4 linked regions of the Notamacropus eugenii genome follow. The protein of the gene in region 3 purifies or fractionates together with the protein of the main gene of each other region. This does not show direct contact. Links are inferred from orthologs where the notes say so. Each region holds a gene or a part of one and is shown on either strand. Other genes may lie near its edges.

Region 1 (8,169 bases), on a different chromosome or scaffold from region 3:
TGGGTTTTCTTATTTATAAAACAGGAATCATAATATTTCTATTACCTACACTGTTTTTTTAAGGAAAGTGCTTTTAAAAAGTGAATGATTATTTCCCAAAGTGATAGACTTTCAGATTTATTTAAACCAAAGCCCTTCCTATCTGATCTGATTTTTTTTTTAAGCCACAGCCTACATGATGTATTGGGCAGACATTTCTTGCACATAGCCTTCTGGACTTGTTAGACCAGTTTCATGTTTACAACAAAATGCCAGACTATCTACGCCATTCAACACATGCAGTAAATGTTCAAACTTGATAGTTTATTAATAACTGCCTTGAGTTTTCCTGATCTCTACAGGTTTCCCATAAGCTGCTTGTCTATACAGAAATGGCATGGCAAAATAAATGTTCTATAACTACCTGATATCTTCTAAGCTGATTTAAAATGCCAACCCAGCTACAATACAAAATCTCCGTAAGATGATTTCTACCCCACCCAAGTGGTTGCACATTCAAAAATTCATGTATACAATTATGTCGGATGTTAATTATAGAAAATTAGTCAGCTGTGCTAATTTTTAGAAATGAGTACACAATTAATTATTTGTGAATTTAGTGTCTGTGGATAAGGGAGCTTCCTCAATGTTCTAAGATTATGGGATCATAGCATCGGAATCTTGATACTAGAGGGGATAATCTGAGGCCATCTGTAGTTCGAGAAACTGAGACCCAAGGCTTGGTAGGTAGACTCATGTGGGAAAAAGCAATAAAATTTTTCTTAAAATACTAGTTATACTTCCCTAAATTCTTTTTTTTCATACTTGAGTGCCTTCTATTAATTCAAATTATTGCTTTATTGACCTTCTGGCTATGACTTTAGTATTTATTATGAAGTGTTGACTATTCCTTCTTCAATTACATTCTTTAAATGTTGGAAATAAGAGTTGGTTTTATTTTTTTCTTAGGGTATTTAGCTTTAATTGTAATATAAAAGTAAAGGTACAAAAAAGCCCATTACTAACAATACTAAAATGATATCTCTCCTGTAAATCCAGGAGCCTAGCTTAGGAGCAAAAGTACTCTGGCAAGAGCTAGGCCTGAAAAGCCGCAAATGTGCTGCTGGCCTAATGCTGAGACAAGGAGAGTCACCTTCACAGCTAGCTGGACTCTGCTTTTTGCTGCTGCATGAGTGGGCAACAGAAAAACACTGCTTGCCTTCCCTGCCCACCATTTTTAGGGGACAGCTGGGAAGTTTCCACTCATTTCAGAAGAAGAGTCAGGAACCTTCCTTGGCAGCTAAAGAAGCCAGGCTTTGGAGGCCCTGAGCCAAATGTTGTGGCTCCATAGAGTCCACCCAAACTTCTTTCAACATAGGCCTTAGCAACCTCTGACTTTCTCTTCTAGCTTTTCCACTATGCTCAGAAAGCTCCAGAGACCTGCCGAGGCATGGCCCTGACACAAAGATAGAATTTTTTGAATCACTGCTTCTTGGTGTTCCACCCCAAGCTAGAGACAGTTTTACTAAAGATATTTTCATTAAGAATGGAAATTTTAAAACTAAACAATACAAGCACCACAAAATATCAAGAGACTAGATTGTTCCTTAAAATGAAAGTTACCGTGTCCTTTTATCTTGTCAACTGATAGCAAAAATGGCAACTCAATGTAACATTTTTCTGGACCAAATGTAACTCAGAAATCATATAACAGGGATCAGGAGATCTGAACAGGAAGAATTCTTATCAATCATCCAGTCCAACTTTCTTAGATGGGGAAACTGAGGCACACAGAACTTGAGTGCTTTGCCCAAGGTCACCCACATAAGGGGTAAAGCCTAGAATTCAAATCTAGGTCCTCTAAATCTGGAACCTCTAGGTTTTCCTCTACATCTGACTGCCTCTCTCACAAGCATCTCTATCTATGGACTTATTTAGAATAGAAATGCCTCTCTCCTGTGAACATACATTCAAACTAGGCAGGAGACAAAACTTCCCAGGCAACTTGCAAAAGGAGCAAAAGAAGACAGCCAACCCTACTCAATTGTTGTGTCTGTGTGCCTTTTGCGCTGTACGTAGTCCGCTGTTAAACCTGTGGACACAGCTGAAGAATAAATCAGTTTCCCTTGTGTCTCTGCTGCTCGGGTGGACTTAACCAACTTTAAATAAACATTACAGGGCTAAAGTATCAAATGATTTAGCGCACTAAGAAGAGCTGCAGTGCGTCAGAGACAAAAGGCAGCTCCTGCTTTCTACTTGGGGGGTGGGGTAGGGTGGGGAGACAAGGGGCTTGCCAATGAATGCCCTTTCCACCTCCTGCCCTTCCCTGGCCAGTCCCCGTGCCCGATCTCCCTGCCTCTCCCCGCCCCCCCTGCAGTGACCTGGCTAATCTGTCTCGGTCTCCAGGCCCGATCTCTCTACCACTTGCCTAGCCGCCCATGTCTTGTCCAGAACTCTCTACGGTCCTTCCCCCACGTCTCCTTCCTCTCCGCACTGCCACGCCGCTGGACAGAGTAACCTGTACATCAGCAGGGCGCGCGCGCGCACACGCAGACACATTCCCGGACCACCACCACCACCCGGCCTATCTCGATCCCCGCCCTACGGCTCTTCCTTCTGCTCCCAACTTTCCCTGCCCCGTGCTACACTCTCCCCGAAACAAACCAAAAGCGGAAGAGAAGGGAGGTCTATGTACTCCTTACTCCTTGTCCTATCCCCAAAGACGTCCCTCCCCAGTCCTTTCAGCTTTCTCCTCCGAAGCCCCCAACCCTCCAATGGTGGCTACCCCGCGGTGAAGAGTAAGCAAAGCCAGAGGTCGTGGGGGAGGAAGGACCACTCACTTTGTGCCCCTCGGGCGTGACGCGCGGGTCGTTCCATGTAGTGGTCCGGTTGTTGTGATCCACGAAGAATGGCCAACCCGTCTGTGGGTCGATTTTAATTTCCCAGCCTGGTGGCAAGGGGTCTCGCTCCCCGCCATTGCCGCTGTTGCTGGTCGCCATCTGAACCATTGGGGAGTGAGTGGCCGCGCTCATGCTCTGCCGAAGGAGCGACTTCTGCTACCGTAGCGGTGACTTCTGCTGCTGCTGTGTCTAGAGCTGTGGCTGCCGCTGCTGCTTGCTGGCGAGGCTGCTACTAGCTGGGGCCGGGGCTGGGGCTCGGCTGGGGCGGGGAGAGCGAGTTGAACTGGGTTGGGCTAGACAGGGCGGAGGCGGGGGGAGGGTGAAGTTAAAGAGGAGGCGAAGGAGGCTGGCTACAAGGGTGTCCTTAAGTCCGCCTCCGAGCACCTTTATGAATTAATGGTGGAGTGACGTGAGAGGAAAGAGCTGGAAGTATCTGGAAATAGTCCTCCCGGGGCAGAGGCACGGAGGAGATAACGAAGAGAGCGAGGAGGAAGCAACTGGCTCAGTAGAAACTTCTGGTTCCATCCAGCAGACTTGGCTGTGCCCCTTTTCCAGGATGCAGAGCTCCGCCCTGAGTCATCGGCTATTATTGTGGCCCTTAGTCTTTCCACCTAGGCCTCCGGTTCGGGGCTGCTTTAGCCTGCCTTTACTTTACTCGACTGCAGTTGGCTCCCGTTTGTAAGTTGAAAGGGAGAAGAGCTGGATAACTGAAGAAAATTTGGCCTTTTCAGTAGCAACCCACCCCTTCCGACTGCCGGTCGAAAAAGAAATCTGATTGGGAATGTGGGCCTATTGACTCTTTTTAAAAAGAGAAAATGGCAAGGGATTGCCCAAAATGATGGCATTTGGACTGGATGTTTGTAGAACTGAAGCGTTCCCAGTAACTAATTCGTGTGCTAGCTAGCTAATAAGGTTTCATTTTTCCCTTTCCATTCTTTATGGCTATTTCATAGCAGGTTAAGATTAAGAGAAAACACATGCAGATGTCCTGGTTCCTACCTTGTGTTTTTGAATCTCATCCTTAGTATTTTTGAGTTTTCTGGGGGTAAGAAATGTTAAATATGCTACATGGAGTAGTTCTGCTTGAGTTCTATATCCCAAAGAGTCGTGGAAAATCGGATCTAACATTATTTCCCCCAAAGAGAAGGCGTTTTGTAGGTCTGAAGCCTGTGCATTCCCAAGAAGAAAAAATAACTTCCATCAATTCAAAGCTTTTCCCCTACTTTTCTCACCCAAGTCAGTTACCCCTTCCTGTTCTGTTTTTACATTACAGGTTTTTCAGGACATGTCCTTCAACCACCATTCCCCATTCACCCCAATCTTTGTGCCAAAGAACAATTAAGCAAAATTAATCAACACACCAAATCACCCAGGACAATAACAGAATGTTCCATACTATAGGCCCTTACTTCTCCAAGGATCTGAGGGAGAATTTCCTCATTTCTTCTCTGGACCAAGACTGTTCAATATTAAATACAAAGCACTGAACTTCATTTTTCAATGAACCATTTTAAAGAGGAAAAATTATCTTTATTTTTTAAGAGTTGATTGCCATTAAACAAAATATATGTTGAATTAAAGTACAAAAGCAGAAATATCAATCTTGATGTGCATCTGTGAAGAAGGAAACAAGGTCAACTAATCTTTTCATTAACTCCCAGATGGGAAGCCTTTGCACTTCAGTAATTCTACGAAAATTTTATGTCCAGACTGGGAAAAGGGTTGAAATGGTTGTTACCTAGAATTTCAAATTCTGTCAGTTCATTCTTCCCCTTGAATCATCTAAATGGTTTGTGTAATAATATTGAGTCTAATTCTCCACCCTACAGATTAGAGGCTGAGATATCAGAATCATATAAATTCAAAGAAGAATGCCCTACATGGTTTTACAATGCAGGAAACAATGTTGTACTGACTACCAGTGGAGGGTGACTATCAGTGGTCACTCTGATCCCATATCCCCAGTTCTTCTGGACATATTGAAAATGGTCTGTGGCAAGTCTTCCAGTCACACAATGTTGCCTAACACTTTTACAATACAGGAGCACCACAGCAGCTGGCTCTCAAGGAAATTATGTATTTAGTTCATAAAACTGTCAATACAATGTAAATGTTTAACTTACATATTTAATTTATGTGCTTGACATCTGTCCACAGGCTATCATGGATTATAAATTCTAACAGAACAGGCACTGCTTCTCTCTTATTCTATTTAGTATGAATACAGGACATCTAATTCTATCCAGCCTAATTTTATTCTGACCCTAGCTATTCATCCCTAAAATATGATTATACTTGATCTATATATGATATAAACATCTGATTGATATAACATCTCTATTTTCTTGTCACTAGATCATCAATTCAGAGCTCAGAAGAACCTTAGTCTAATGCCCTCATTTTACCAGATGAGGAAACTGAGACCAAGAAAGGGTAAACTGATTTACTTAAGGTCACACAGGTATTAAGTGGCAGAGAAAGATGTCCTCCTACATCTATTTCACCTTAAATTGTGAGGTCATAAGAGGCTATGTAGGTATAAGATCCATAATTCTTATGACAATGCCTCACATAGTACCAACTGGATTTTTGATAAATGCATTCAGTTGAAGATGATTTTCAATTCTCTTTGCACAGCTAACAGCACAATGTGATAGGAACATATTTACCTCACGTAAGCATACAGTCAAGTCAACTGTGTCCCAAGAATAGTCAAGAAACATTTCATGTTAAAAATAATCAATCAAGTAAATTTTTATTGAAATTATTATGCGCAGGAAGTTGTCAGCTAGGATAGGGAACCTGCAGCCTAGAGGCCACATGTGACCTTCTAGGTCCTTGGATGCAGCCTTTTGACTGAGTCTAAGTTTTACAGAACAAATTCTTTTATTAAAAGGATTTGTTCTGTGAAGTTTGGATTTAATCAAAGGGCTGCACTTGAGGACCTAGAAGATCATATGTGGTGGCTTTGAGGCTGAAGGTTCCCCACCCCTGTAGGCACTTGGGCTGGGGGCGAAGGCATACAAATAAGTATAGGACATTGTCTTTTCTCTCAAGGGATTTATAATTTCAAGGAAGATAGAATAGTGGGAAAGAACATCATTTTAGGAGTCAGGAAACCCGGATTATATAGCCCCAGTTCTATCTCTGTTAGTTCCAGTTGTATAATCTACCATTAGCTGGGATAACTCCAACTCTACTACCCACCAGCTGTAACTCTGAGCAAGTGACTTCACTTTTGTGGGTCTCATATTTTCTTATCTGTAAAATGAAGGCACTAAAATATGACTTCTGAGGTGCCTTCTAGCTCTAAAATTCTCTGTTTTTTCTTGTTAGGAGGAAGTATATAAATTAAGGTCCATGATCATGCACAAAAGGCCTATGATCTAGTTGCAGAGATAAGGCATAAAAATAAAAAGTTACATAATTTTTTTCCCCTACCTTTGATTTCATCAAGGTATCTAGTTTCCATTTGATATAGATCAGCTTCTTATCATCTTAGAGAGTTATCTTGGGACTTGAGAGGTTGTTACTTGCCCATGATTATACAGCGGTTAATACAGGTAATGTCAGAAGCTGAACTTGAACCCAGGTCTTCTTGACCCCAAGGCTAGCCCTCTATCCTTTTGTCTCATTGCCCCTCTAGACACCAAAACAGGTCTTAAATAACAGCACTATACCAAAACACAAGAAATGTCATAAAGGATATGACTTGTTAATTGCTGAATCACTGTTGAGGTCAAAGGAAAGTGATGTCATTATGAGACTGAATGGTCTAGGAAGACTTAAGAGGAGAAGGGACTTGAGAAGGGCCTTTTTATAGGCTGGGTTCATTTTGCCTCTTTGCAAGTCAAATTCAAAATGCATTTTAAATTCTTATATGTCTTTCTTTGCCAAATACAGTTCATATTGTAACTAGTTTTATTTTGTGTTGGGTGTCTGGACCTGTGATTTCATCAGCATAAGGAACTCTCAGTATGAAAACTCCTCCAAAAATGCATATCTACCACTTGTCGGCAACACACAGTCTTAGGGAGTTTCCTGGGGCACTGAGGTAAGAAGGGACTTGCCCATGATCCCCACATCTAGTATGTGTTAGAGGCAGGTCTATAATTCAGATCTTCTCTGCTCCCAACACTATCTAGTATATCTTGTGCCTCTCAACTTTTTAGTAGTTTTTGTAACTAATAAATAAATATGTTGGTTGAAGTCTGTAAAATTGTTATGATTTAACCCTTATAGGCATTGTTTTTTATAGGCCCTTGCAGACACTCTTTGTTAGAGCTGAGCTCTGGAGATTTCAAGCCATCCCAGTTATACAGCACAGAGGACTGTGGATTCAAATTGGTGTTTGAAGCCAAGGGCACCGAGGCTCCCAAGCCTTCTTCAATTAAGTAGCCCTAAGCCATGATGATTAAGTGTGGCCTCTGGTGGTGTTATTATGGATAACCTTTATAGGGCTGCTAAGATAAAGCAACCTTTGTCCCAGGCAACTATGACTTAAAGCCTAAACAAGGGCAATAGTTGCCCACTAAGAAAAAGAATGAAAGGACCCACTCAATTCCTAATGGCAGCACTCCTCAGAGCTCTGGACAGTTGAGGTCTTGGCTCAGGCACAGACTTCTCCATCAATCTTTATCCCTGTTCTTGGGTCTGAATGATAGACATACTTACTCTGCAGTACTTCAAAGCAAGGTGGTTTTGTGGGTGTGAGTCCTGCCTCCATCACCACCAATCACAACTCCTCTATTCCCTTGTAGATAAGTCTTTGTGAGTTTCAATGGCTTAAAAAATCATCACCTGGTAACCACTGAGCTCTCTGAGCTTAGCTAACCTCACTTTGGGCAAGAGACATATACTCATGGCATGGCCCACCTGGTACTGAAAGGCTTGACTAGACAATTACAGATCTCTTAAGAGAATATAGAATCAAGAGCTATTTTACAAGACTGTAGCCTCATAAGGAAGACAAGAAGAGACCTGTTTTTTTCATCTAGACAAGATATAAGGGTTAATTACGATGGTACTTATTCCACCATCATAAACACAGTAATTACAAGTTCATAGTGATTATGGTAAAGGAGTGATGGGTATGTGTGTGTAAAAAACAGATTTTCCTATGTGAGTTTATCTAATTGTAGATTTAGAGTTTGCTAAAATCACCTAACCCCATACCCTCATAGTGGGAGACAGGGATGGAAATGGCATTTTTCAAGGGGAACTAATTTTTTTTACTAAACTTAAGAAACCATAGTTTCACAGAAAAGACTGCTATGAAAAAGTATAAAAG
Region 2 (8,086 bases), on a different chromosome or scaffold from region 3:
CCTTCTGGTACTCCCCCTTCTTGGCATAGGCAGCAGAGCGGTTGCTGTACAGCACATGGTTCTGGGGGTCCAGCTTGATGGCCTCTGAGTAGCATCTCAGCGCGTCATCGATGTTGCCGGCACTCAGGGCCTTGTTGCCCTTCTCTTTCAGCTCATTCACCTGAGAAAGGGAGGAGGTAAAAGGCGAGTCACCAGGGCCAAGTCCCTCAACTCCAGCTTTTCACTCCCTCACGTGCTCTTCGTGGGAATACAAGGCCACTGCATGGCTGGAGCTTTTCCATGGAGAAGGCTGGCCTTCCAGGTAGAAATCTGCTGCTCTGATGGAGGTCCCCCTTCCCTGATGAGCTCAGACAAACAGTTCTCAGTGTTTGCAGGATTGAACATATACACACCTCTCTGAAACCTCAGGATGACCCTGTCAAGTACCACAGGCATGAATCCCATTTTTCCGATGGGGAAATGGAAACTCGAGGATTAAATGGCTCATCTAGCCACAGAGCTAAATCAGAGGCTGGATTCAAATCCAGGTCTCTCTGAATTCCAGGTCCAAAACACTTTCTATGACTCCACTTGACCACAATCTAAAATTAACTGCTTCTTTCTATGCCAAAACACAGAAAGATGGAATTGGACCTTGAAATTCATTGGGTAACAACAGTAAATAGAGGCTCCCTCGCAGGCTGGAATAGCTTAATTTCTTTTCAAATTTTCCCACTCCTCACTGAATCAAGAGATCTAAAATGTGCAGGCACAGAGATAAGCTCAAAAGGAAAACTGTGGGACTGACCTAGGGATTAACCTGGGAAAAAAGGGCAGTTTGGATTTGTCACGTTTCCCAAAAGTCCAACAGAGACTCTCTTGATTCCCTTGGGGCTGGAACTGGTTAGCAAAGAGAGCATGTGAACATGTTGTTCTGTTATGGTGTCTCAGTCGGATTTCTGGAAAACTGGGAAAGACTTCCTACTTCCAGAGTGAAGAGATGCCATTTCTTTGGCATGGTTAGACCATGTTCCTGAGGCTAAGAAGAACCCTCCCCTCGTTGAAGTGGTCATGAGTCATCCATCCATAGGACAGGCAAACACTTTTCTCTCAAATGGCGAAGGAATAGGGGGAAAAAGGGGAGGGTTGGCACCCTAAGATCACTTTGGGAGATTGAAATAAAGCCTGCCCCCTGCTCAGTTTAATTCAGCCAAATCTATGACTCATTTTTTTTAACCTCCAGTTGAAGTAAATGTAGGAGGACCATGCATGAGAGAGGGTCTGTGGTACCACTTCAGGATGTCTCTCAAACCAGCAGACAAGGGCCTTTGAGGAAAGGCTGGCAGCTTCTCACACATGGGTGTGAGGGGCAGAACCTCAAACAGGGAAACAGCTATCCCTAATCTGAAAAGTGCCCTCTCTCCCCCATTTGTACATCCTTTAAAATGAAAAGCCAATATAAAGCTCAAATGCAACCATCCTTAGTAAGAACACTACAACAAGAACATTGCAATGGCTGCCTTCCCAATGTAACTCCTGGTTTTTGTGGCAGGTATGGAGAGAGTTGCAGTTCAGGCACAGGTGGGACTGAAAAGGCCTTTCTAACTTGGGGATTCTGAAGTCTGATGGAGGAAGGAGCGAGAAATCCCACTCAGCAGGTAAGCTTGGGCCAGTCAAGAAATAAAAAGAGCACACTGAGTGTGGGTGATTCCCCAATGCGATTACAAAGGGGAGCTCAAGTGGAAAAGTCTGACCTGACTTGTGCTACAAATTTAACTTAAAAGACTGGCCTCTCAAGATTTGAGTCCGCCCCCCTCCCCAACGTTCCAGCTTGTGGTGTTCAAACGTTTCTTACAACTCATGGACTTTCCTAACCATAAAGTGAATGAGACAACACACAAACCCATCCGGCAGCGAGGATGAGGTTATTCTCAGACCTGGGATGTAGAGACAGAGGGTAGACAGCAGGAAGGCCTGGATTCTAGTCCCCACCCATGTGGGGTACCGAACCAATCCCTTTCTCAACCTCAGCTTGCTTATCTGTGAAACGAGTGTAAGGGAGGAACCCTAGATGGTATCTAAATGTTAGAGACCTAAGCACTCAAGGCTAGCTTGCCCACAGACCACTCTACCCCAGATGGGACCCTCCAAGTTTCCTTCCTGTCCTCCAGGCCCCCGAGAGTGAGCCAGAAAGCCAAGTCCTGTCGTCCTACCACAACAGAGACACCTCTCCCTTCACTCCCACAAGCCTGGTCTGCCACCCAGGGCCTCTGGTACTGACCCGGCCTCTTACATCCCATCACTGCACCTCCGAGGAACCCAAAAACTTGGGGAGGCAGCCTGCGTTTGGAGAAGGGTCCCAACCCGAGCATCAGCTCTGCTGTGTCCAGCTAAAAGGGGGGGGTGTCCCCTAGTCTGCTCCAGGGCCCCTTTCCTCAAAGCCTTTGAGCCCAAAGAGCCCCCACCTGAGGCCCAGGCACCTTCACTAGGACGCCCCAGAGGCACAGAGAGCCTGCCTCGGGGCGCCCCCATTGACTTCACTTTGCCCCCCCTTTACTTCAATCAGTTCCCAGTTTCTCCTGCATTTACCCCCCATGGATTTCACGGAAGGCCGGGCTGACTCCCTCCCCCCATCCCTGGAGCCCCACGAGGGCCTGCCCTCCTCGGACCTGGACCCCCCGCTGGGAGTCCTGCCTCTGCCCCCCCCCCCCTTACTTCCTGTCTCTTAGCTCGGCTCCTCGGGCTAACCCCCAAACCTTGGAGGTCTCTCTACCCCGGATGGGCCCAAGAGCCCTTCTCCTTTCCCCCTGAAACAGGCTCGCCTTTCCTCCAGACCCTTCCCCTCCCCCCACCTCCACAGCCCCCCCATCCCAGGCCTTGCTCCTCCCCCTCTCGCCCCCCCATTCTTTCCCCCCTTCCAGTACTTTCCCCCGCCAGTCCTGGGTCCCGTCGCCTCCCCTCAGATTCAATCTGCCCTGGGCACCCCAATAACCGCCCTCTGACCCTGGCCCGGCCGGGCCCGCCCGCCCCTCCCTGGGCCCCGGTCGCTTCCCCAGCCCCGGCTCAGTTACCTCAGCGGCGGCCCCGGGCCTCACCGCCCCCCCACCTCTCCCCGGCTCGCCCTCCTCCCTTGCTCGCCCGCCGGCCGCCGCTCACCTGCTCCATGGCCCGGGCCGGAGCCGAGGCAGCCGCGAATCCGTCCGCCAGCCCGCTCGCGCCCAGCTCCCAGCCGCACGCGCCGCCTTCTGGAACCTACTAGAAGCTGCCGGGACTCCCGGCTCCCGCCCCTTCGTAGCCGCCCCATTGGTGGAGTTTTCCTTCCGAGCCCCGCCCCCTAGCGCTCCGAGAGGCTGACTTCTCCGCCATTCATGGGCACCTTCCTTTCATTGGACGGCGGACGGCGATTCGCTCCACCCTTAGTCTTTTCTTCCTCGCCATTGGGCGTTCCTTGGCACGGCCCGCCCCAGAGCCTGCTTGACGACTGGCAGAGAGGCGTTCGTCTGCTATACTCATTGGTTGGCGAGAGCGCCGGTCTGGCTGGCGCTGGTCGCACCCATTGGTCCAGTTCCTTCTGGAAATTTCCACCTTTCCCATTGGACTGACGGGCACAGTGACGTCAGAGCCAGCGATAAGGAGCGATTCTATTGGGCGCAGGGTCTCCAAGCGCCTGGCTCTGATAGGTCGCTCCTGCTGCCATTCGAGCAGACTGTTGCCACGGCCTTGGCCCTTCCCCCGCTCCCTTAACTCGTGGGGAGTGCCTAGGCTCCGGCCAGGCTGGAGGTGCTCGTTTCTCGCAACCCGGGGGGGCGCCCTCGGGTATAACCCCGAGCGTCTCCCCGATACACTCTGCCCTCTCAAACTGCGCAGGCTCACGGAAGGAGTCCGGGCAGGGCCAGGGGTGCCAGGGGTGCCAGGGGTGCCAGGGGTCCCAGGGGGCAGGGTCGGCCTCTGTGAAATGGGCTGCCGTGTGGGGGCGGGGTGTGGGGGGCGCTTAGAGCTCTGCACCGGAGGTGGGGTGCCGGGGAAAGCACTTAGCAAGGCCATTCACCTCCCACTGCCTCAGTTGCCCCCAGCTAGAAAACAGGGATCATAAAAGCGCCTACTCGCATGCATGACAGTTGTAAAGGGCACAGTTAAGCACTGGTCCTTGGCACACAGTAGGCGCTTAATAAATGCTTATTTCTTTCCTATTAGGAGCAACTCTGTCACTTTGGGGCAAACCAGTCAATCTGAGCCTCAGTTTCCCATCTGTGAAACGGGGTCTATGGCAGCACCTGCCCCAGGATCGCTGAGTGGGAATGGGATCCATAAGCCCTGCCTCAGTGTGAGCTGGGGACAGAGGGGGCACTGGCACCTGTGTCTTGGTGAGGATGGGAGCAAACCCATCCCCCTCATTTTACAGATGAGGAAACAGGCCAGGAGAAGTGGCTGGATCTGCCTGAGGGTTAGACTCTCTTTCCAGGGCCTCACACTCTGCCCCGGGACCCGAGTGGGAATGCCACAGCCACCAGATAACCTGGCAGTCATGACCTGAATGCCATTCCTTATGTAAGAGAGATCACAACATATCAGAGAGAGGATAGGTCCTCATAGCTGATTCTGACCCAGGCTCTTGCGTGTCCTGAACCCCTGGGACAACGTGGGGGGCCTTTCTCAGAATCAGGTTTTCAAATGCATCAGAGCAAATACATAGGATTGCAAAGGAGACCAACTCTGTTGGAATAAAGTGATCAAAATATTGACCAGCCAGGGCCCAGGGCCCAGGCCCCACACAGAGAGAAGAACTATGTGCATCTAAGATTACATATTATGTATAACATTGCTAATAGAATAGAATTGTAAATACACATTTATACACAGAGTAGCCAACCTGCATGAGCGGAGGACAATTCCACACCAGGAGATACCTTCATGGCTGAAATTTCAATGAGTAAAGTAACAACTGTTTATTATTTTTTTCTGGGTAATTAACAATCATTTTATTAATGAGGGCTATTGGATAATTAATAGAAGGGTCATTTTGATGTCTGTCTTAAACCAAAGACTGACCACTTCTTATTAAATACAGAATAATGGTAAAGCCTAACACATAATAGGCACTCTATAAATGCTAGCTATCATAAAACACCCCAGGAATACATACTGTAAGGGAAATGGAATACATTGATATAGTCTATATAATACAGTTTTAGTGCTAATTTTCCTGGAAGCCCCTCTCAGGTCCCCCAAAGGCAGTCCTATGATGCCCATCAGGAAACAAGGACTGTGACCCCACACGGTGACCTCACAGCCCAGTTGTGGGCATCACTGACTTGGCACTCATATGAATACTGTATCTACCACTTGTGTCTGCATTCTGCTGGGGGAGATCATTTGTACATAAATAAATCAACCCAAAATAAAGGTACATACAAGGTTAATCAGAAGGGGTGGGGCAGCGATGGGGAGGACACTAACAGTTGGGGAGGGAGCCGAAAGGGTCTCATGTGGAAGGTGTTCCTTGAACAATTTTGAAGAAAGCAAGGGATTTTAAGAGGTGGAGATGAGGAGGGATGACATTCCAAGCACGGGGTACAGCCAGGGCAAACACTTGAGGTGGGAGAGTCTTGTGTGAGAGAACAGTATGAAAGCTAGTTTGGCCGGACCACACTGCATGGGAAAGGAAGTACCATTTAATCAGGTAGGAAAGCTAGCTTGGACAAGATGACTTCCTGCTCTGACATTCTGTGATCCCCCTTACTCTGAAGAGTCAGACCCAGCTACAACTCACTCCTCTCATCATCTGTAGGTTCCTAACTGGCCTCCTTGCCTCCAGTCTCTCCTCTCTCTCCAATCCATTCTTCATACAGCAGTCTGTGTCTGTGTTCTGCATACAGTAGGAGTTTAATAAATGCCTGTTGCTTGACAGACTGACGGAGCCATCTGCTGTATACTTTCCAGGAAGTTTTCGACACATCTCTCAGACTGGAAGGTAAAGAAAGTCATCCTGAATTTTCTTTTCCTCCAGGAGCTGAGCTGCCACCGGGCCCGGAGGGAAAAGATTTCTACTTACATTTCAGTTCTCTGCCATCTATTTCCCAGGATTCCTGCCACCTGCCCTGGTCCTCATGGGCACAGACCCAGCCTGGGGGCTCCTCTCCCCCTCTCTGGCTCCTTTCTACCTGGTGCTGCCAGCCTAGGAGAGGGACAAAAGACTGGTGATTTGAGATCATGTCTGTCCACACTCAGCCTAACATTCAAAGCCTTCATAGCCGGGCCCCTCCTCCCTGTCCTGGCCCCTGCTGACCCCTCTGTCCCAGCATCCTCTCTGGCTGCCCCCAGACCTGGAACATGCCCCCCTCGTGCACTCCCACTACTCCTTAAGGCAGGACTAAAACTCCAGCTTCCACAGGAAGCCTGCTCCAAGCCCTGCTTGCTCCAGGGCCTTCCCTCATTCTTTTGTATTGTCCAGGCTGTAGTTCACCTTGGATATATTAGATTGAAGGCAGGAACGGTCTTTATCTTCTTTTTGTGTTCCCAGGGCTTAGCACTGTGCCTGGCACACAGTAGGTGATCCATCAATGTTTATTGAATGGAATGGACTTAGTAACAGTGCTTGGCACATAGTAGGTCCTTAATACATCCTTTCCCTTTTATTAAACTTGATTATCATGATGTCATCTTTCTTGACTTGCCTGTGAATTGGATTTAAGTGAGGAGAAATAGATGATTTCAAGCTGGAAGGCTCTCAGAGGTTGTCTAAGTCTATCCCACTAATTAGACAGAGGAGGAAACTGAGGCTTAGAGACGGTAAGAACTTGCCTCATGCCCCACCCCCAGTAAATGGAAAAGGCAGAACTTGAACTCAGATCTTGAGACTATAAATACAGCACCAGCTTACCTTTCCTGCTAAACTACCCTGAACACCTATGTGAAGTCCTCTGTAGCCTTCAAACGCTCCTGGACCAACAGAATCACAGAGGCCAGTGGAGAGAATGCAGGATTTGGGAGTCGGGACCCCTGGGTCTCCATCCTAGCCCCAGCTAGCACCACCTTCTACAAGAAGACTCCTGCTCCCCCTCAATTCTATATTCTCCCCTGCTCCCAATTATCTCCTACCCATCCCGTTAAGCCTGTTTGTCCGAAGCTGTTTTCCTCCAGGGCTTGGCCCAGTGCCTGTCACAAGATACTTGTCGGCCTGTGTGACCTTGGGTCAGTCCTCTCCCTGGGTCTTAGTTTCCTTCCCCGTTAAAAGCTGGGTTGAGGATGGTTGATTTCTGAGATCTCCTTCAGTGGGTGAACTTTGGTCCTGTGCTTTGCAAACTCTAACATGTTACATAAGTCACTTTTTACTCTTTGTGGGCTAGAAGGAAGCATGCCAGAAGACGGCTGGCTGGCAACCAGATTCCAGGCCCTGGCATACCCGGCTATGCCCTGGGCGGCCGAGCTGGTCACTTCTGCAAAGAGCTGAGGCAGGTTGGGGGGCCAGCCAGGCAGGGGGCTATTTCTAGTGCTGAGTTTGGATTCCAGCAACAGGTGACGGGGCGGTTCAAGTACGTGGGGCCTGGGAGTGAATGGCTAATTTGAGAATTCCCAGGCGTCCTGGGAAACTGGAGATAGGACGTGAGGGGAGGGGGGAGGAGGGCGGAGGGGAGGGCTGGGACTCAGGATGCTGGGAGATGTAGTCCTGACTGGATGGGGGGGAGGAAGAGAGAGGGAAGGAGGGGGGGGGAGAGAGAGAGAGAGAGAGAGAGAGAAAGAGACAGACAGACAGACAGAGACAGAGACAGAGAAAGACAGAAAGACAGACAGAGAGACAGAAAGACAGAAAGACAAAGAGACCGAGAGACAGAGAGACCGAGACACAGAGAGACAGAGAGAGGGGTATGTATATGTGTGAGAGTGTGTGTGTGGTGTGCAGATATTTCTGATGAACCAAACTACTTTCTGTCAGCGGCCATCTGACAAACCTTAAAATATCTGCCTGGATCATCAGTCCCTCTGCTTTGTCACTCATGTCCCCATACCTAGAGTTCACTCCAGTCCCAGGCACTGTGAGGTCAGGGTGCCCTATGCCACTCTCACATTATGAGACAGTACAATTGTAACATAAGACATCATCCAAGAA
Region 3 (7,850 bases):
CGAGCCATGTCCTGCCTACTTCTTAAACAGGACTATTCAATGAATGGGCGTTACCTCACTCTAAGTGAGTACCTGCATAGACCTCGGCCTAAAGGGGCCAAGGTCTTCTAGTGTATCCTGGGTCATCTCCAGTTCATCCAGAGGAATATCAGGTCACTGGATTCAGATGGCTCTGGAAAAGTGAGGCTGGTGACCTGCATAGCCCTCCCTCACTCAAAATAAAGTCAAGTGCAAGTCATGTCATCATTTCTCTGATGTCATGGTCTTCAGTAAGGAAAGACAGACACAACAACAACCCAGGGCTACACCAGAGAGCAAAATTTGTACCTCCTGGAAAGGTTTCTTTCTGGGCCTGAATAGGTGAAGGACTGCCACTCAAAAGAAGTTTAGAAAGGCACAGAGAATTCACAGGTTACTTTTTTGCAGGTACATCAATTCTTTAAATCAGAAATTCTTAACTTGGTTTGGGAAAGTGTCAAACTATTGGGGGGGATTTGCTTGATGATTTTTGTTTTCTGTTTTGCATTTTGGCAACTGTTATTTTGATATAATATATGCATTTAAAAACATTCTAGTAAGAGGTCCTCCACAGTTTCACCAGATAGCCAGAAAGATCCACGACACAAGAGATTAAGAATCCCTACGTTAAACTGTCCATTAAAGCAATGAAAAGATTGAATTAGTGTATGTGTAAAGTATATCTAAACCCATGAAACTGAGATTTTTGAGGCATTTAAAAAGAATGAGATGTTTGATGTTTCATAAAATATATTCAGTAAAAAGTTTTAGAGCCAAGACCTAGTTTAGAGCTAAGACCTCAATTCTTTACAGATAAAGAAACAGAAGCATATAAGTTATTTATCAAGGTCACAAGTGGTTGAATAGGACTTGATACATCCCAACCATCAGTCTAATGCGTTCTATATTACACTATTTCCTGTTGCTTAAAAAGGTACATATATGTAACACTCCCTAGAGCCCACTTTTCCTAAATCATTTGGGGGGGGAGGGAGACATATTATGGGAGTCAGTATCAAAAAGTGAACAGAAAATTGGTTTTGTAAGTAGGAAGATCTGGATGTAAACCCTAACTGGCATACTTATGTGACTCCAGACAAATTATTTACCCTCACGTCCCAAGCAACTCTTTGAGAACCTAAATTACAGAGGTAGCAACTTCTACTATCAAATAGTGCTGATAAGCACTGGCAGAATTTCCTCCTTGAACGAATTTCCTAAACTCAATCAAACATCTTTGACATACTAACGTGTTACTTTTCCAGGTTTTAATCATCTCAGTAGCTACTACTGGAATGGCATCCATCTTTCTCCTTGGATCATTCTGACCTCCAGAGCAAAAAAACAGCTTGCAAGCCCACTTCTTTCAGGTGTAAAACTATGATGATAACCACTGAGAGGAGGTGAGGGTAGGCCAATTCAAAATCTCGATTAAACACTTAATTACTTACAAAGTCACTTTTTTGTTCATTCTTGTCACCCTCACACTCCTTTTTTGCTCTTATGTAAGCAAAATTCTCCCTTTAGTACCTACACTTTACAGTGAGCAGGCAGTCAAGCTGAATTTTCTCTCCTAACTTCAAATCTGAGCAAGTGTCTAAAGCCACATCAGAATTAAGGGAAATATATTACATTTTACTTATTTCCCAAATTTTGTTTGCTGTTTCTATCCAATGTTAATACCTTTTGGAGATTCATTTATTTGACTTGCTGATTCTATAAAAGGTAAACAACTAGAAACCGTACTTTCATAAGTACAGTCGGAGTGAACAAATTTGATAGTGGTTTAAGATTTCTCTTCTTTTATACTTTCTTAAAAACTGATTACCACTACTTTACCAGGAATTATACAACCTGAACTGCACTGCCAAATCGGTTGTTTTTCTAAGGTAAAACCGAACTACAAGTTACTTTTATACCACTGAGAAGGAGATGTTTACTTTTCAGTTTTATAATTCGATGGATCTGAAGTCAGGCCTATCTGCCTGAGTTTCCTCATCAAACAGCACCTATCTCCCAAGGTTGTGTCAAGGATAAAATGAGCTAATACTAATAAAGGGCTAGTAAACTGTGAAGTACCAAACAAATTCTACTAGCGGCTATTATCTCCCCTGCCTCTCTTACCTTATTTCCTCCAACTCCTGCCTTTATTCTAATAAAAAGTTTACCCAAAAAAAAGGTTTGAAAGAGGGGCAGCGGTCCCACCTGCGCCCCCAAAGTCTGCGGGGCCTCTCCGCTCGCCTCCCCGCCACCCTCGCAGACTCCAGCCCGACCTTCCGCAGCGAACGCTCAGATTCCGTCTCCGCAGCGTCGGACCCCCTCACCGCCCACAACAGGCTCCTCCACCTCCGGCGCCCTCTCTCTATCTCCAGGGCAGGGACGCGGTGTTTGCCTTTCTTGGTAAGCGCACCCCTGGCACCGGGCCTAGTACACAGTAGGCCGTCCATAAATGCTGAGTGAACGAGAAAAATGCCCGAGGGCACCCAAACGTCGTGCCCATCTCGGTCAGGCGCTCACATTCTCATCTAACCAACTGCATTTTGGGGGAGAAGGGGCCTAATTTTGGTCACGCGATGACAGGAAGAGAGGTACTGCACTAGCTAGGGACACTGAAGAAATCCCTCCGCCTTCCCCCGCAGACCAACGAGAGCCCCCCCAAGGACCCCCGACCATCCGGGGGCTTTCAGCCTCTTCCCCATCCAGTCCGAGGGCGGGTGGGGGCCGAGCTGAGAATCCTCGGCGAGGCCCCGAGCGCCCGGACGCGTCCTCCACCCCCTCCCCCAACGGCCCGGGCCGCAGAGCCGGATGCCCGGCGGCGGCGGGCAAGGACACCCGAGCCGGCGGTCGGGGCTGGGAGCAGACACTCCGAGTCCCCGCCCCGCGCAGGCAGGCAGGCCGCAAGGCCCCGGGAGCCGGCGCGCTGGGCGGGTCAGCAACACCGCCGTTGCTAAGGCGCCGGGGACAAGTCCGGCCAGCCCCGCCGCGGCTCAGCCCAGGACCTCTCCTCCCTGAGCCCCGGGCCCTGACAGGGGTCTTCCTTACCCGAAGAGGGTTGACAGCTGGCGGCGGGGAGGAGGGGCTGGGCGGCGAAGCCCGCGGTCTCCTCTCGGCTCCGGCGCTGCTGGTGGTGCTGGTGGTGCTGGTGGTGGCGGCGGCGACTCCTCGCGCTTTCCTTTCTCTCCGTTTCTCCAACAACAAACAGGAAGTGCGTCAGACGTCGGAGCTACGCGGCGACGCTCCACTTCCCTTCCACCATTAAACTCAGTGAGCTGGAGGCGGCGACCGCGGCGGTGGGGGCGGCTGCCGCGTCTGCCCGAGCCCTGCGCCTCCTACGCCCCGCCCCTACGCCACCTTCCCGAAAATTCTCCGCTCGCTCGGCAGACGCTCAGGCCGCCTGCGGCCGTTGGCGCCATCTGTCGGCCGCCGAGTGAACGACGGTGGGGGAAACTCCGCCGCCCCCGCCTTGGGCCCACCCGCCTAGTGGCGGCCCTCCCCTCCCCCCCTTGAAATCCACGTACGCTCCGGCGCCCTCTGGGACGTCAAAGGGCTGAGGCCGCCGCCCCTCCCCCCAGCGACCGTTGGGGCTGATGAGGCACCTAGAGGGGTCCGGCCTTCGGGGAAAGGTATCACTGCCCTCGTGGAGCTTACGATCCAGGGACCAGGAGAGGACTCTTCCTCAACCCGCCTGTCTCCCTCCCCATGCGCCTCCCCGCTTCAGATCCGGCGGATCCGGGCCCCCCGACATCTGAGCAAGGCCGGCCATGGTAGGGGACCCCCGGACTCCTTCCTCGCCGCGTGGCCCCCCCTGGGTCCTCCGGGACTGGGGCAAGCTGCTTCCGTGGTGCTTGCCTCAGTTTCCTCATCTGTAAAACCCTCCCAGGGCGGTCGTGAGGATGAAATGAGATGATGACGTAGGGCAGCACGGTGCTTGGCACGTGGAAGCGCCCGCGAAGGCCTAGCTCTCCTTAATATCCTTCTTTTCGGGTCTGCCCAGCCCGCCCTAGTCTCCAACAGAAAATCACACTGGGCCCTACGACAGCCTCACGCACAGGATGACCTTGCGGTCTTGTTACCGAGCTGGCCATTCTTATTGTTCAGGAGCAAGTTCTTTTCCCCTTAACCTTTTTTTCCCACTCCATCCCACCGAGTATTTTTTTTAAACTGGAGAGCAGAGCCTCCGGAGCCGGGGCCTGTTTCAGCATTTTAAATTGATCCCCTTTTTATCGGGATGGGCCGACCTGTTCATCTTCTGGGACTTGGGATTTGTCACGCTTCAGCTGACGAAGGTCCTCCCCGTTACCTCTGGAGTTAGGCCTTTCACCATCTAAGCTGGCACATTCATATGTACCCCAGTCCCTTCAGCCATACCCAGTAGGAAGACACCTCCTTGTCTCACAATTTTGAACTAAAATGAAGCGAATTACTATAAATATTTTTGCACACACTGATCCTTTTTTCTCTGATTTCTTAGAGGGTAGTGATGTAGCTAGGGCAAAGGATATAGAGAGTTTGGTAACTTTCTGAACAACAGAATTATTTCTAGAATGGCTGGGCCAATTGGCAGGTTCACCATCAGTGAGTGTATTTTCCCAGAGGTCTTCTGATATTTGTCATTTTCTGATTTTGTCATCCTTGCCATTGTGGAAAGTATGAGTGGAATCTCAGAGTAGCTTTCATTTGTATTCTCTATTAGTGATTTAGAGCATTTTTTCATGTAATTGTCGATAGCTTGGATGTCTTCCTTTAAAAACTGCCTGTTCGTATGCTTTGCCCATTTATTTTCTGAGGAATGCCTTAGATTGTTTCTCTTCTTTTAAAAAAGACTGATTGTCTCTATGTTGTCCATGCTAAAAGTACAGAGACTCTTCCTGGGCTGATTCCACTGCTCATAGACGCAGAAGCTTTGACCTCCATTTTGAACTTGGACTTGTTCACTCCTCCTTGGGCAACTTGGTAGCTCCCTGCTCCTGAAGATGAACCATATTCATGTCAAACCTACTTCTGATGCTGTGTTCACTTAGCTCACTCTCACTCAGAACCCCCCAAATCGAGATCTTGTACCAGATATTAAGCTATTTACTCTTACCTCTCAGCAACCAATAAGGGGACTGCCTTACTATCTACAAGCACTGAACACTTCATCCCTGCGTCAAATGTATATGTTTAACCCAATGGAGAATCTCTGCTCATGCTCTGTACAAGTATCTGTACACATGTATACATATCTTTATACACAGTTCAGTGGTATTAATAAATAAGACCTTGTTAAGACCTTTGTGTAGTAGAAATTTATTCCCTCTCCCCTACGGAATCTGGGTTAGCATTTCACATGCAGAATCCCAAGGCCATGGCCTTGCTACTTGGAAGAAGAACCCAAGGCCATTTTTCTGGTATTTGCCAGATAATTTAAGGAAAAATTCCTTGGAAGGTTCATACCCACATCACTTGGCATGCGTCTTATAAAAAAATGTGCATTATCCTCTTTTGCTAAAACCATACAAAGTCTCCCCCACTTTTCTCAATAATAACTTCATAGATAGGTTTCCATCTGGGCTTAGATGACCTTATAGCACAGAAAAGACCCTCCACATGCCCTTTATTAGCAAACCTTGAGTTTATCAGGGAAACATTCCAGTTGCATACTCTCATCCCCCTCAGTCATTTTCTGTGCTCAAAGATCCCAAGGCATAGCTTTGTATATGAAGATAACAAGTAACCTCTTGCTACCAACCAATAACCAACCTCAAAACTCCCCTATAGGAGGAACATCTATATAACACATCAGAAATGTGTGGAAGTCTAGGAAGACATCTTCAGAACAGCTACACCACCCCAATTCAGATATGATTCAGAGGACCACAGCATCCCAATTCCATCTCCAGTTCTCCCAAGGCTTCTGGGGACTATACAAATATCCTTTCATAATTTTTAAACACATCTTTTCCTTTGGACCTTTTCCTTTCCTCTACTAGTATAGATGAGTTGCCATATGAGTTGATGAAAAATATAGGGTCTAAACAAAGAGCGCTCAAACACAGTGAGTGGCCCTAATTTACTAAGGCCATATAGAACTGGGTTTATGACATCTAACTTGCAACTACAATTGAAAGACAACTTAATTAGTAATATCAAGTTTTTAGATTGAACTGTAGAACTCCATACAGTAAAATTCCATAGGAATTCCTGGAAAGACAGTATGATGATGACAGCAATGATGGCCTGTTTGATTTCCCTCAGATCTTATGTTCAATACCAAAGGACATTAAAATACAGTTTAAAAAAATAAAAATGAACCACTAACTTAGAAAGAGTGGCTTCCCTTGCTGGAGGACACAGAAGTGCCATAGCTTCAATTACTGTTCCAAGAAAAGAATTGCTGTCAATACCTTGAGTCAATTCAGCACAAATCTGACAATGTTATTCCTCAGGTCTACTAAAGCCCTTCCAAATCTAGCTCCAGTCTACCTGTCTGGGCTGGTTGCCCATACTTTTCATTCCAGCTAAACTGGCCTATTTATTGTTGTCTACACAGGCCTTTCCCTTTCCAACTCCAAGCCTTTGCACAAACTGCCCTTCAGGCCTGGAATGCACTACTCAACACCAGTTCTTCAGAATTTCTACTTTCCTTCAAGGTTCAGCCCAAGGCCTTTCCAGAGTTCCCTCCCCCACCATTGCTCATGTTTATTTTGTAAATGTTACTTCCAGGTACCATAGTGAGGAGTAAAATTGGCAGATTAGTACACCTTTCTCCTCCTCCTCCTTCCTTTCTTAGGGGAAAGTTACATAAGAGAAACCTCTCAGATCCTAGGTATCTCCTCCCACTGTGACAGCTAGAAAAAAACAGGACTTTCCCTTCTTTGCATCTTCCTCAGGTAAAAGGCAGAAACTTTTTGCCTGAAGCAAAAAGGAACTCAACCTTTTTTGTGTCTAGGGCCTCTGGCACTAAGGTGAAGCCCATGAATCTCCTCTTTACTCCTCAGAATGTTTTTTGGTCTAAATTCACAATCAAAGGGAATGCTAAATTTCAGTTGGGGATAATGAAAATATAGATGTATTTTTTTTTCCTATCCAAGTTCACAGACTCCCCTAAAATCTATGCTTGTGGTCTCTGTACCTCCAGTTAAAAACCACTGCCGTAAGGGGCTGGAGACCAACCCTATTCTCAGGATTGGAGACTTTTTTAGACAGCCAAATCTGAATAGGATTAATAGTCTAGAGGCTGAACCCCAGATTCACTTTGAATTCTGCATATGGAAATTTATAAACTATTAATAAAACAAAATAAGAGCTCATCATGCCCCAAGGTTGCCCTTAACAGTGAAGCTGGAATGTAATTTCAAATAATCAAAGGCTTAGCCATTTGTACTCACTGAATATGACCAACATGTCAGGAAGAACACATTTCTAGGCATGCCATAAATGCATATGAAGAAAGAATAATTATCACTATAAAGAAACAACTAAGAATAAAAAGAAATAAATTACCAACACCTACCTAATAAGAAACGCACATGTAGAGGGGAAAAGAAGTTGGGAAGATGGTCCCTTTGTAGAACTTGCTCATAGTTCTCATATTGGGACAGGCACTTCTCAGTGTAAAATTAAAAACTGATTTTAATTCAATTTTTTAGAGATAGTCAAGCTGGCATAGATTTTAATACTATTCCAATCAGTGTAAATCCAAACTCCTTACCTATGTAACTTCACCCTTCACCTACATTTCCAGAAACTTGCCTAAAGGTTAAGCTTTTGTTTTCTAATTACCTCCATTTAGGATTCAGTTCCATTGTGAATTGAAACTCTACCCTTGTAACCTCACAGACAACCCACTA
Region 4 (7,838 bases), about 110 Mb from region 3:
GCTTGGAGAGCGGCGGGAGCCAGTCCAACACTGTGAATTCAGAGTTGCTCTACAACCTCCCCACAGCACTTACCCCACCTGGTGCTGAGCGCATCTCAGATGTTTCTTGGTAGACTTTGGGAGCACCATCACCCAGGTTGGAGTAGGAGATGACAGTGGAGGATGAAAAGGTCTGACAGTTGGCTCCAGTTGTCATGTGCTCCTGAAGAAGAGGGAGGCTGGAGCTGAAGTAGTTGGTGAGGGAGGGGATCCCACCCTCACCAGAGAGTCTCAGCATCTCAGCTTGTTTTTAACTTTGTCTCTATTGTAGTACTGTGAGAATTCACAAGTGACCTTGATGCAATTGAAGGAATTCTGCTCTAAACTGGATGCCTAATGTGAAATGTCTACCTTGAGCAAGCTTTTTGAGCAGGCACCTGATCTCATGTCTTCATGTAAATGCCAACTTCCAACCCAGAATTCAAGGGTCTAACTTTTTAGTGAGTTCTTTTATAGAAAAAGAGGAATCCTCGGGATGAGGCTGTCATTTAAGGTCAAAAGGTTAAAAAGACTAGGGGCAAAAGGCTTACCACATTCCCGATCATATCATTCATCATCCCAAACATGTCCATGAAACCACCTGTCTAGGGAAAGAGAGTTAGAAGAAAAGGCTCAGGACAAATCAATATACTCCAGGTTTCTTCTCCAATCTCAAGACTGGCTTGGGACCTTTATAATGCTATCTCTTTCCTCTCCCCCTCACACCTGGTCATCTGCTCTAAGACCTCTTGGGAGGCAGTGTGGTTTATGGAAAAAGCACTAGATTTGGAGTCAGAGGACGCGAGTTCAAATCTTAGCCTTACAACGAATACCTGTTTGACTTTGGGGTTTTTGTGACTGAGAAAATCTGGGTCCCTTCCAACTCTAAATCCTTTTATCCACACCCTGAATCTCCCTATCCAAACTGGCTAAAACAACACTGACCTCTTCTCCTCCTCCTCTGGCTTCATTCTTCTCCATTTCCTGGCTTCCCTACCTTCCCTTTCCTCTAACAACTCAACCTAGAGTCAGTGGATTTTTAACCTATCAAGAACCAATACTAACTGCTCCCCAACACACACACATAACAACAAAATAGGAACTCATAAAAAAAGGGAAAGAAAAAGAGTTCCCTTTCTAGAGATTCTGGACATGGGGGCACAGTTAACAAATATGTAACACTGTAGGCTTAAAGCTTTGTGAACACTCAATAATATGAAAGGGGGGAGAAGACAAGGAGACACCACTACAATCACTCCTAAAGACTCCTTAAAGGGATAGATCTGAAAACAGTACTGAAAGGGAATAAAGAACAAAGGATAGGAAGATATGGGGGAATGAGGACTTACCATTCCCAGCATCCCAAAGGGTGAGACAGCTCCAGCCTACAGATGCATGGACAAGGAGTAGAATTAGAAAATATACCTCCCCCACTGCGACCTCCTCTCCTTTCCTATAAATCTAGGTTAGGCCCACCTCCCCAAGTTTATTCCCATTCTCTGTTTAAGCATGAGGAATTTGGCGCCCCTGCCCCCATGAGGCAAGGGCAGGGATTTTTCCTCAAGTTCCTTCCCAATCCCAAGGCCTGGCAGAGTCTTAAACATGTTGCCCTGTTACCTGCATCCTTCGACTAGCAGCAGGTCGAGCCCCTGGGATGCTCCCATCTGTGATGCTAAGGAAAGGGCTGTAACCGAAGCCTCCTGACAACATCCGACTCATGTGCTGTCGGTGAATAGCGAAAGGGTCCCTGCGTAAAAGTACAAAAGGCATCATGTCAGGAAGGCCACAAGCCCCATGACTGGGTTCCTTCCTTCTCAAATTAAAACACAAAGAAAGGAAGGCAAAGAGAGAAGGTGTTTGCCTTGCAGTCCAGAGCAAACACTAAAACCCAATGTTCTGACTCCCCAAAAGAGAGTCTCCCAGCTTCTCCCGGGCTGGGGCTTGGAAATGTCCTGGTCTGTGGGTGAGGGGGGGAGACTCACATGAGGAACATAGGATCCTCAGGCTCTCCGTCCCTCATGAACCGGAACATCCTGCTCTCAGCTTCCGGGAGCTCTGAACTAGAGGGGTGAGGAAAGGAGATGGGAAACAGGGGTAAGAGGCCAGCAGGGAAGCAGATTCACCTTACCTTCAGGAGGGGGCCTCCAGTGCAATGGCTCTCACAGTACGGTTGCTCCCCACCCCGCACATAGGAGGAAGGGCTCTCTCCTGAGATGCCCAGCATAATGCAAACACTGGAAAGCCCTCTCAAGATGCCCACCATAATGCAGACTGAAGGGAAGCCTCTTTCCTCCAGATGCCCACATAATCCAATATGGGAGTGCAAGCGGCTCCCCAACTTCCCTTCCTCTCAGTGCTGGACAGTAATATTTTAAAATAAATACCACCATATCTGCTCCTTTTGTCCGGCCCCTCCAGGCCAGCCACTCTTTCCTGCTGTCCGGGCTGGCAGCCCCCTCCTTTTGTCCGTCCCTCCCCCGACATCAGGGCCCTCGCTCCATTAACTGCCCCGGCCACTTGGTTTCCTCTCCACACCCTGCCCTGCCTCCTCCCCACTCCAGGCCCCCACAGCCTTAACCTGGCACCCCGGCGGCCGATGGGTCCGTCCCGGCTCCCGGCCCCTTCCCCACTCGGAGCCCAGGCCAGCCCTGCCCCTCCCCCGCCCGGCCCTCTCCCCTCCCGGCGCTCAGGTCCGGCCTCGCACGCCCAGGGGGGCCCGGCTGCCCCGCGTCCGCCCCCGCCGCGACCCTCACCGGGCCCCGATCCAGGGCGCTGGGGGCCCGAGGCTCAGGCGCCCATCCGGCCGGGCCCGATCCTGTGCGTGGCGCAGGCCCGCGGAGCCGCGGCCCTGGCTGGGTGCTCCGCTGGGCCCGGGGCGCGCTGAGGCGGCTGGGGAGGCCCGACGATCCTTCCTTCCTTCCCTCCTTCCCTCCTTCTCTCCTCCTCCGCCTCCTCCTCCTCCTCCTCGTCCTCCTCCCGCTGCCGCCGCGGTTGCTACTGCTGCCGCCGAGCACAGCCAGGCTCAGCCACTGCCAGGCCCAGGCGGAAGTGACGTCACCGCCCCAGTCCTCTCTCCCCGCCCCCGCCCCTCTGGGCTTTCCCTGACAGCCGACCCGGCCAGGGGAGGTGCCCCGCAGGGGTTGGCCTGTATTTGCTTCCCTTTGGCGGTGCCTCTTCTCCCGCACACTTAGGAAATGACTGGGGTCTCTTGGGGTGATCCCTGGAAGAAGGAGGGAGGTGGGGGCGGGGGGATGATGCCGAGGATGGTAGATTTCCTATGGGGGGAGGAAGAGGAAGACCAAGGGGAGGGGGCAAGTTTTCTAAAAGGGAGGACAGATTTCTGGTAAAAGAGGGGCAGGTATGGGGGGACTATCTAGACGAGAAGGGAGGGGCACGTTTTCTATAGGGCCGAAGTAGGGAGGGCAGGCTTCCTATGAGGAGAGGGGGAGATGCCCCATGTGGAGGGAGGTTTCTTATAGCGGGGCGGGGTAGGATGGAGAGGGAGGGGAGATTTCTAAAAGAGGATGGACGGGTTTCCTATGGAGAGGAGGAGGAGGAGGAGGAGGAGGAGGAGGAGGGGGAGGAGGAGGAGGAGGGGGAGGGGGAGGAGGAGGGGGAGGAGGAGGGGGAGGGGGAGGGGGAGGGGGAGGAGGAGGAGGAGGGGGAGGAGGAGGAGGAGGAGGGGGAGGAGGAGGAGGAGGAGGAGGAGGAGGAGGAGGAGGAGGAGGAGGAGGAGGAGGAGGCAGGAGCGGGTTTGTTGTGAGTGTGGGGGAGGTTTCCTATAGGGGAATCGGAGGAAGAGGGATGGGCAGGTGTCTGAGAGAGGAGGGGGAGCAGGGTCCGGGGGAGCCGGGGGAGAAGGGGCCGGGGCCGGGGCAGCCGGGGCCGGGGCCGGGGCCAGGTCCGCGCAGGCCCAGGCAGAGGCGAGCCGGGCAGTGTAAGGACGGAGACTCGTTTTGCTGCAATGAGTGGGGAGCTCAGCTCGAGGCACTGAACCCTGAGCCCGCCTCAGCCCAGGGACTGGCCACTGGAGGGCTCTGTCCTCTCACTGGACGTCTGCGGGGGTGGGGGGTACCCCAGTGACCCCCTCTGTAAAGGGAGAAGCCTGGGGATCAGAACCCTCCAGATGGGCGCTCTTCTCCTTCCCGGCCCGTGTCCCAGCTCGCAGGCGTTTGCCCCTAAGAGGAGCCAGGACAGAAGGGGTCGTGGCGGACAGTGCAGTAGCCAAAGGGCTCATTCCCAGATTATTTTGGAGGAGGGGAAGCTGGATTTCAGAGCAGAAACGACTTCCGGACCCTCCAACCGCGCCCCCCCCCAACCTGGGCCAGAGCTGAGCTGAGCACGCAGGTGTCCTCAGGTCGACCTTGGATATTCTGGTTCTTGGGTCAGCCTGCCTGTTCCCCTCCGGGGGTTTGCCCAATTTAGATTGAACTTTACACAAAACATATACAAACTCTCACCTCCCTGACTCTTTTTACCTGATCCTTCATCTGGTTGGAACAATCAAACCCTGAGGAAAAGGACAGTTGGCATTATACCCCCTCTTTTTGGGGGGGGGGCGTAGAATGCCGGAGAAAGGAGTATATTACTGAATCGGGGAAAATGCTAGTGAAAACTTCTTTTGGAGATTTCCATTTTAATAGGTGGGAAAAACTGAGAAGGCGGGAAATAATAGCAGAAACAGAAAGCCTCATAGGCAGTAAGAATAAAAGGAAATGAAACTTTATTGATAATAAAAGGGAAAAAACTGCAAAAATCTGTGCTCACCCTGCAGATGCAGCAGTCCACCAGCTCTGTGGTACTCCTGACCTCCAAATTTTCTCTTTCCTGCTCTCTTAACCTTAAATTTCCTCCCTTCCTTCAACAAATGTGAAACAATTTTGGTAGTCAGGGAAGGGGTGAAGATAAAAAGTTTAGATAAGACCTCCAGGAACTTAGAGTCTAGTTGGGCAGTATGTGGTCAATTAATGTGACACAATCAACCTAAAGGCAACGATGTGGTTAAATGTGTAAATGAGATGGTTCATAATTTTGATCTCTTTATGAAGTGTGAACCTCTAGGTTAAGAACTGAAGAGCTATTAGATTGACTAACATGACAGAACAAGAAAATGATAAATGTTGGGGAAGATGTGGGAAAATTAGAATACTAATGAGTTATTTGTGGAGTTGTGAACTGATCAACCATTCTGGAGAGCAATTTGGAACTATGCCCAAAGGGCTATAAAACTGCATGCCCTTTGACCCAGCAATACAACTTCTAGGTCTATATCCCAAAGAGATCATTAACATGGGAAAAGAACCCACATGTACAAAAATATTTATAACAGCTCTTTTTGTGGTAGCCAAGAATTTGAAATTGTGTGGAATCAATTGAGGAATGGCTGAAGAAGTTATAGTATACAAATGTGGTGGAATTCTATTGTTCCATAAGAAATGATGAGCAAATAATAAAAATGACAATTCTACCTAAATTAATTTACTTATTTAGTGCCATACCAATCAAACTATCAGATAATTATTTTGTAGAACTAGAAAAAAATAATATCAAAATTCATCTGGAAGAGCAAAAGGCCCAGAATAGCAAAGGGACTAATGAAAAGAAATGCTTGGGAAGGTGGCCTAGTGCTACCAGATCTCAAATTGTATTATGAAGCAGCAATTATCAAAACCACTTGGTACTGACTAAGAAAAAGAAGGGTAGACCAGTGGAATAGGTTAGATACTCAAGACACAGTAGTCAATGAATATAGCAGTCTACTGTTTGATAAACCCTAGGACCCCAGCTTCTGGGATAAGAACTCACTGTTTGACAAAAATTGCTGGGAAAACAGGATAACAGTGTGGTGGAAACTAGGCATAGACCAATACCTGACAGTGTACACAAGAATAAAGTCCAAATGGGTACATGATCTAAGTATAAAGAATGATACTACAGATTAGTGGAGCAAGGAATAGGGTGTTTATCAGATATATGGAGAAGGGAAGAATTTTTGATTAAACAAGAGGTAGAAAACATTATGAAGTAAAAATGGATAATTTTGATTACATTAAATTGAAAAGTTTTTGCACAAACAAACCCAAAGCAACCAAGATTAGGAGGGAAGAAGAAAACTGGGAAAGAATTTTTTAAACTAGTGTCTGTGATAAAGGCCGCATTTCTAAAATATGTAGAGAACTGAGTTAAATGTACAAGAATACAAGTCATTCCCCAATTGATAAATGGTTAAAGGATATGAACAGGCAGTTTTCAGAGGAAGAAATTAAAGCTATCTATAATCATATGAAAAAATGCTCTAAATCACTATTGATTAGAGAGATGCAAATTAAAACAACTCTGAGATACCATATCACACCTATCAGACTGGCTAACATGACAAAACAGGATGATGATAAATGTTGGAAAAGATGTGGGAGAGTTGGAACACTAATCCATTGTTGGTGGAGCTGTAAGCTGATCCAACCATTCTGGAGAGCAATTTGGAACTATGCTCAAAGGACTACAAAAATGTGCATACCCTTTGACCCAGCAATATTGCTTTTAGGACTGTATCCCCAAGAGATCATAAAAATGGGAAAGGGTCCCACATGTTCAAAAATATTTATAGCAGCACTCTTTGTGGTGGCCAAAACCTAGAAATCAAGGGGATGCCCATCAACTGGGGAATGGCTGAATAAATTGTGGTATATGAATGTAATGGAATACTATTGTGCTGTACAAAATGATGAACAGGAAGACTTCAGAGAGGCCTGGAAAGACTTAAATGAACTGATGCTGAGTGAAAGGAGCAGAACCAGGAGAACTTTGTACACAACAACAGCTACAGTGTATGAGGATTTTTTCTGGTAGACTTAGAACTTCATTGCAATGCAAGGACTTAAAAAATTCTTAATAGTCTCTTAAGACAAAATCTCTTCCACATCCAGAGAAAGAACTATGGAATTCAATTGTAGAATGTAGCAGATCATTTTCTTTTGTATGTTCGGGTTTGTTTTATGATTTCTCCCATTCATTTTAATTCTTCTATGCAACATGACTAAGGTGAAAATGCATTTAATAGGAATGTATGTGTAAATATATAGGAATAAATAAATAGGAATGTATGTATAAAATTGTATGCTGTTTCAGGGAGGGAGGGGGAAGGTAGGGGAAAAGGGGAGGAAGGAGGGGGGAAAATCTAAGTTATATGGAAGTGATTGCAGAACACTGAAAACAAATAAAATAATTTAAAAAAAGAAATGATGAGCAAGTAGACTTCAGAAAAACTGGGTGACTTACATGAACTGATACACAGTGAAGTGAGCAGAACCAGGAGAACATTGTACATAGTAATAGCAACATTGTGAAATCACTAACTTTGATAGACTTAACCTCTTCTTAGCAATGCAAGGATCTAAGACAACTCCAAAAGATTCATGATGGAAAATGCTGTCCACAATCAGAAAAGGAACTATGGAGCCTGAATGCAAATCGAAGCATACTATTTGTTCTCTCTCTTTTTGTTTCTTCTTTCTTGTGGTTCCTCCCATTGGTTGTAATTTTTCTTTACAGCATGACTAATGTGAAAATACATTTAATATGAATGTATATATAGAGCCTATATCAGATTGCAGGGTGTCTGGGGAGGGGAAGAAAATTTAGAATTCAAAATCTTCTTGAAGTAAATATTGAAAAACAAAAATAAAAAACCAAACCCTGAAGAACTGACCACATGGTCAATAGGTTAACCACAAGGGCTATTCACACCTCTGAGGACTTTAAGTAGCTCAAAGAATTTCATCCGAGAGCAGTCTAGGGTGAAGCTGTCAAGTGGTGAAGGA

Evidence for each region.
Region 1: the proteins of DNAJB6 (region 3) and BAG3 purify together in Homo sapiens (co-immunoprecipitation; 3 studies listed by BioGRID and IntAct, with this or other methods). This does not show direct contact. The link is inferred for Notamacropus eugenii from reciprocal best matches to the Homo sapiens genes DNAJB6 and BAG3.
Region 2: the proteins of DNAJB6 (region 3) and STIP1 purify together in Homo sapiens (affinity purification with mass spectrometry; 3 studies listed by BioGRID and IntAct, with this or other methods). This does not show direct contact. The link is inferred for Notamacropus eugenii from reciprocal best matches to the Homo sapiens genes DNAJB6 and STIP1.
Region 4: the proteins of DNAJB6 (region 3) and MLF2 purify together in Homo sapiens (affinity purification with mass spectrometry; 3 studies listed by BioGRID and IntAct, with this or other methods). This does not show direct contact. The link is inferred for Notamacropus eugenii from reciprocal best matches to the Homo sapiens genes DNAJB6 and MLF2.

The regions. Positions count from the first base shown.
Region 1 is NC_092872.1:199,785,292-199,793,460, reverse strand, and holds the start of BAG3 (BAG family molecular chaperone regulator 3), read right to left. Parts: upstream 3,407-8,169; 5' UTR 3,012-3,406; coding exon 2,820-3,011; intron 1-2,819. UniProt on the Homo sapiens protein: Co-chaperone and adapter protein that connects different classes of molecular chaperones including heat shock proteins 70 (HSP70s), e.g. HSPA1A/HSP70 or HSPA8/HSC70, and small heat shock proteins (sHSPs), e.g. HSPB8.
Region 2 is NC_092873.1:17,036,483-17,044,568, reverse strand, and holds the start of STIP1 (stress-induced-phosphoprotein 1), read right to left. Parts: upstream 3,263-8,086; 5' UTR 3,145-3,262; coding exon 3,136-3,144; intron 161-3,135; coding exon 1-160. UniProt on the Homo sapiens protein: Acts as a co-chaperone for HSP90AA1. Mediates the association of the molecular chaperones HSPA8/HSC70 and HSP90.
Region 3 is NC_092874.1:87,373,105-87,380,954, forward strand, and holds the start of DNAJB6 (dnaJ homolog subfamily B member 6), read right to left. Parts: upstream 3,191-7,850; 5' UTR 3,061-3,190; intron 1-3,060. UniProt on the Homo sapiens protein: Has a stimulatory effect on the ATPase activity of HSP70 in a dose-dependent and time-dependent manner and hence acts as a co-chaperone of HSP70. Plays an indispensable role in the organization of KRT8/KRT18 filaments.
Region 4 is NC_092874.1:195,042,116-195,049,953, forward strand, and holds the start of MLF2 (myeloid leukemia factor 2), read right to left. Parts: upstream 3,083-7,838; 5' UTR 2,772-3,082; intron 2,079-2,771; 5' UTR 2,051-2,078; coding exon 2,001-2,050; intron 1,766-2,000; coding exon 1,636-1,765; intron 1,404-1,635; coding exon 1,368-1,403; intron 624-1,367; coding exon 570-623; intron 203-569; coding exon 74-202; intron 1-73.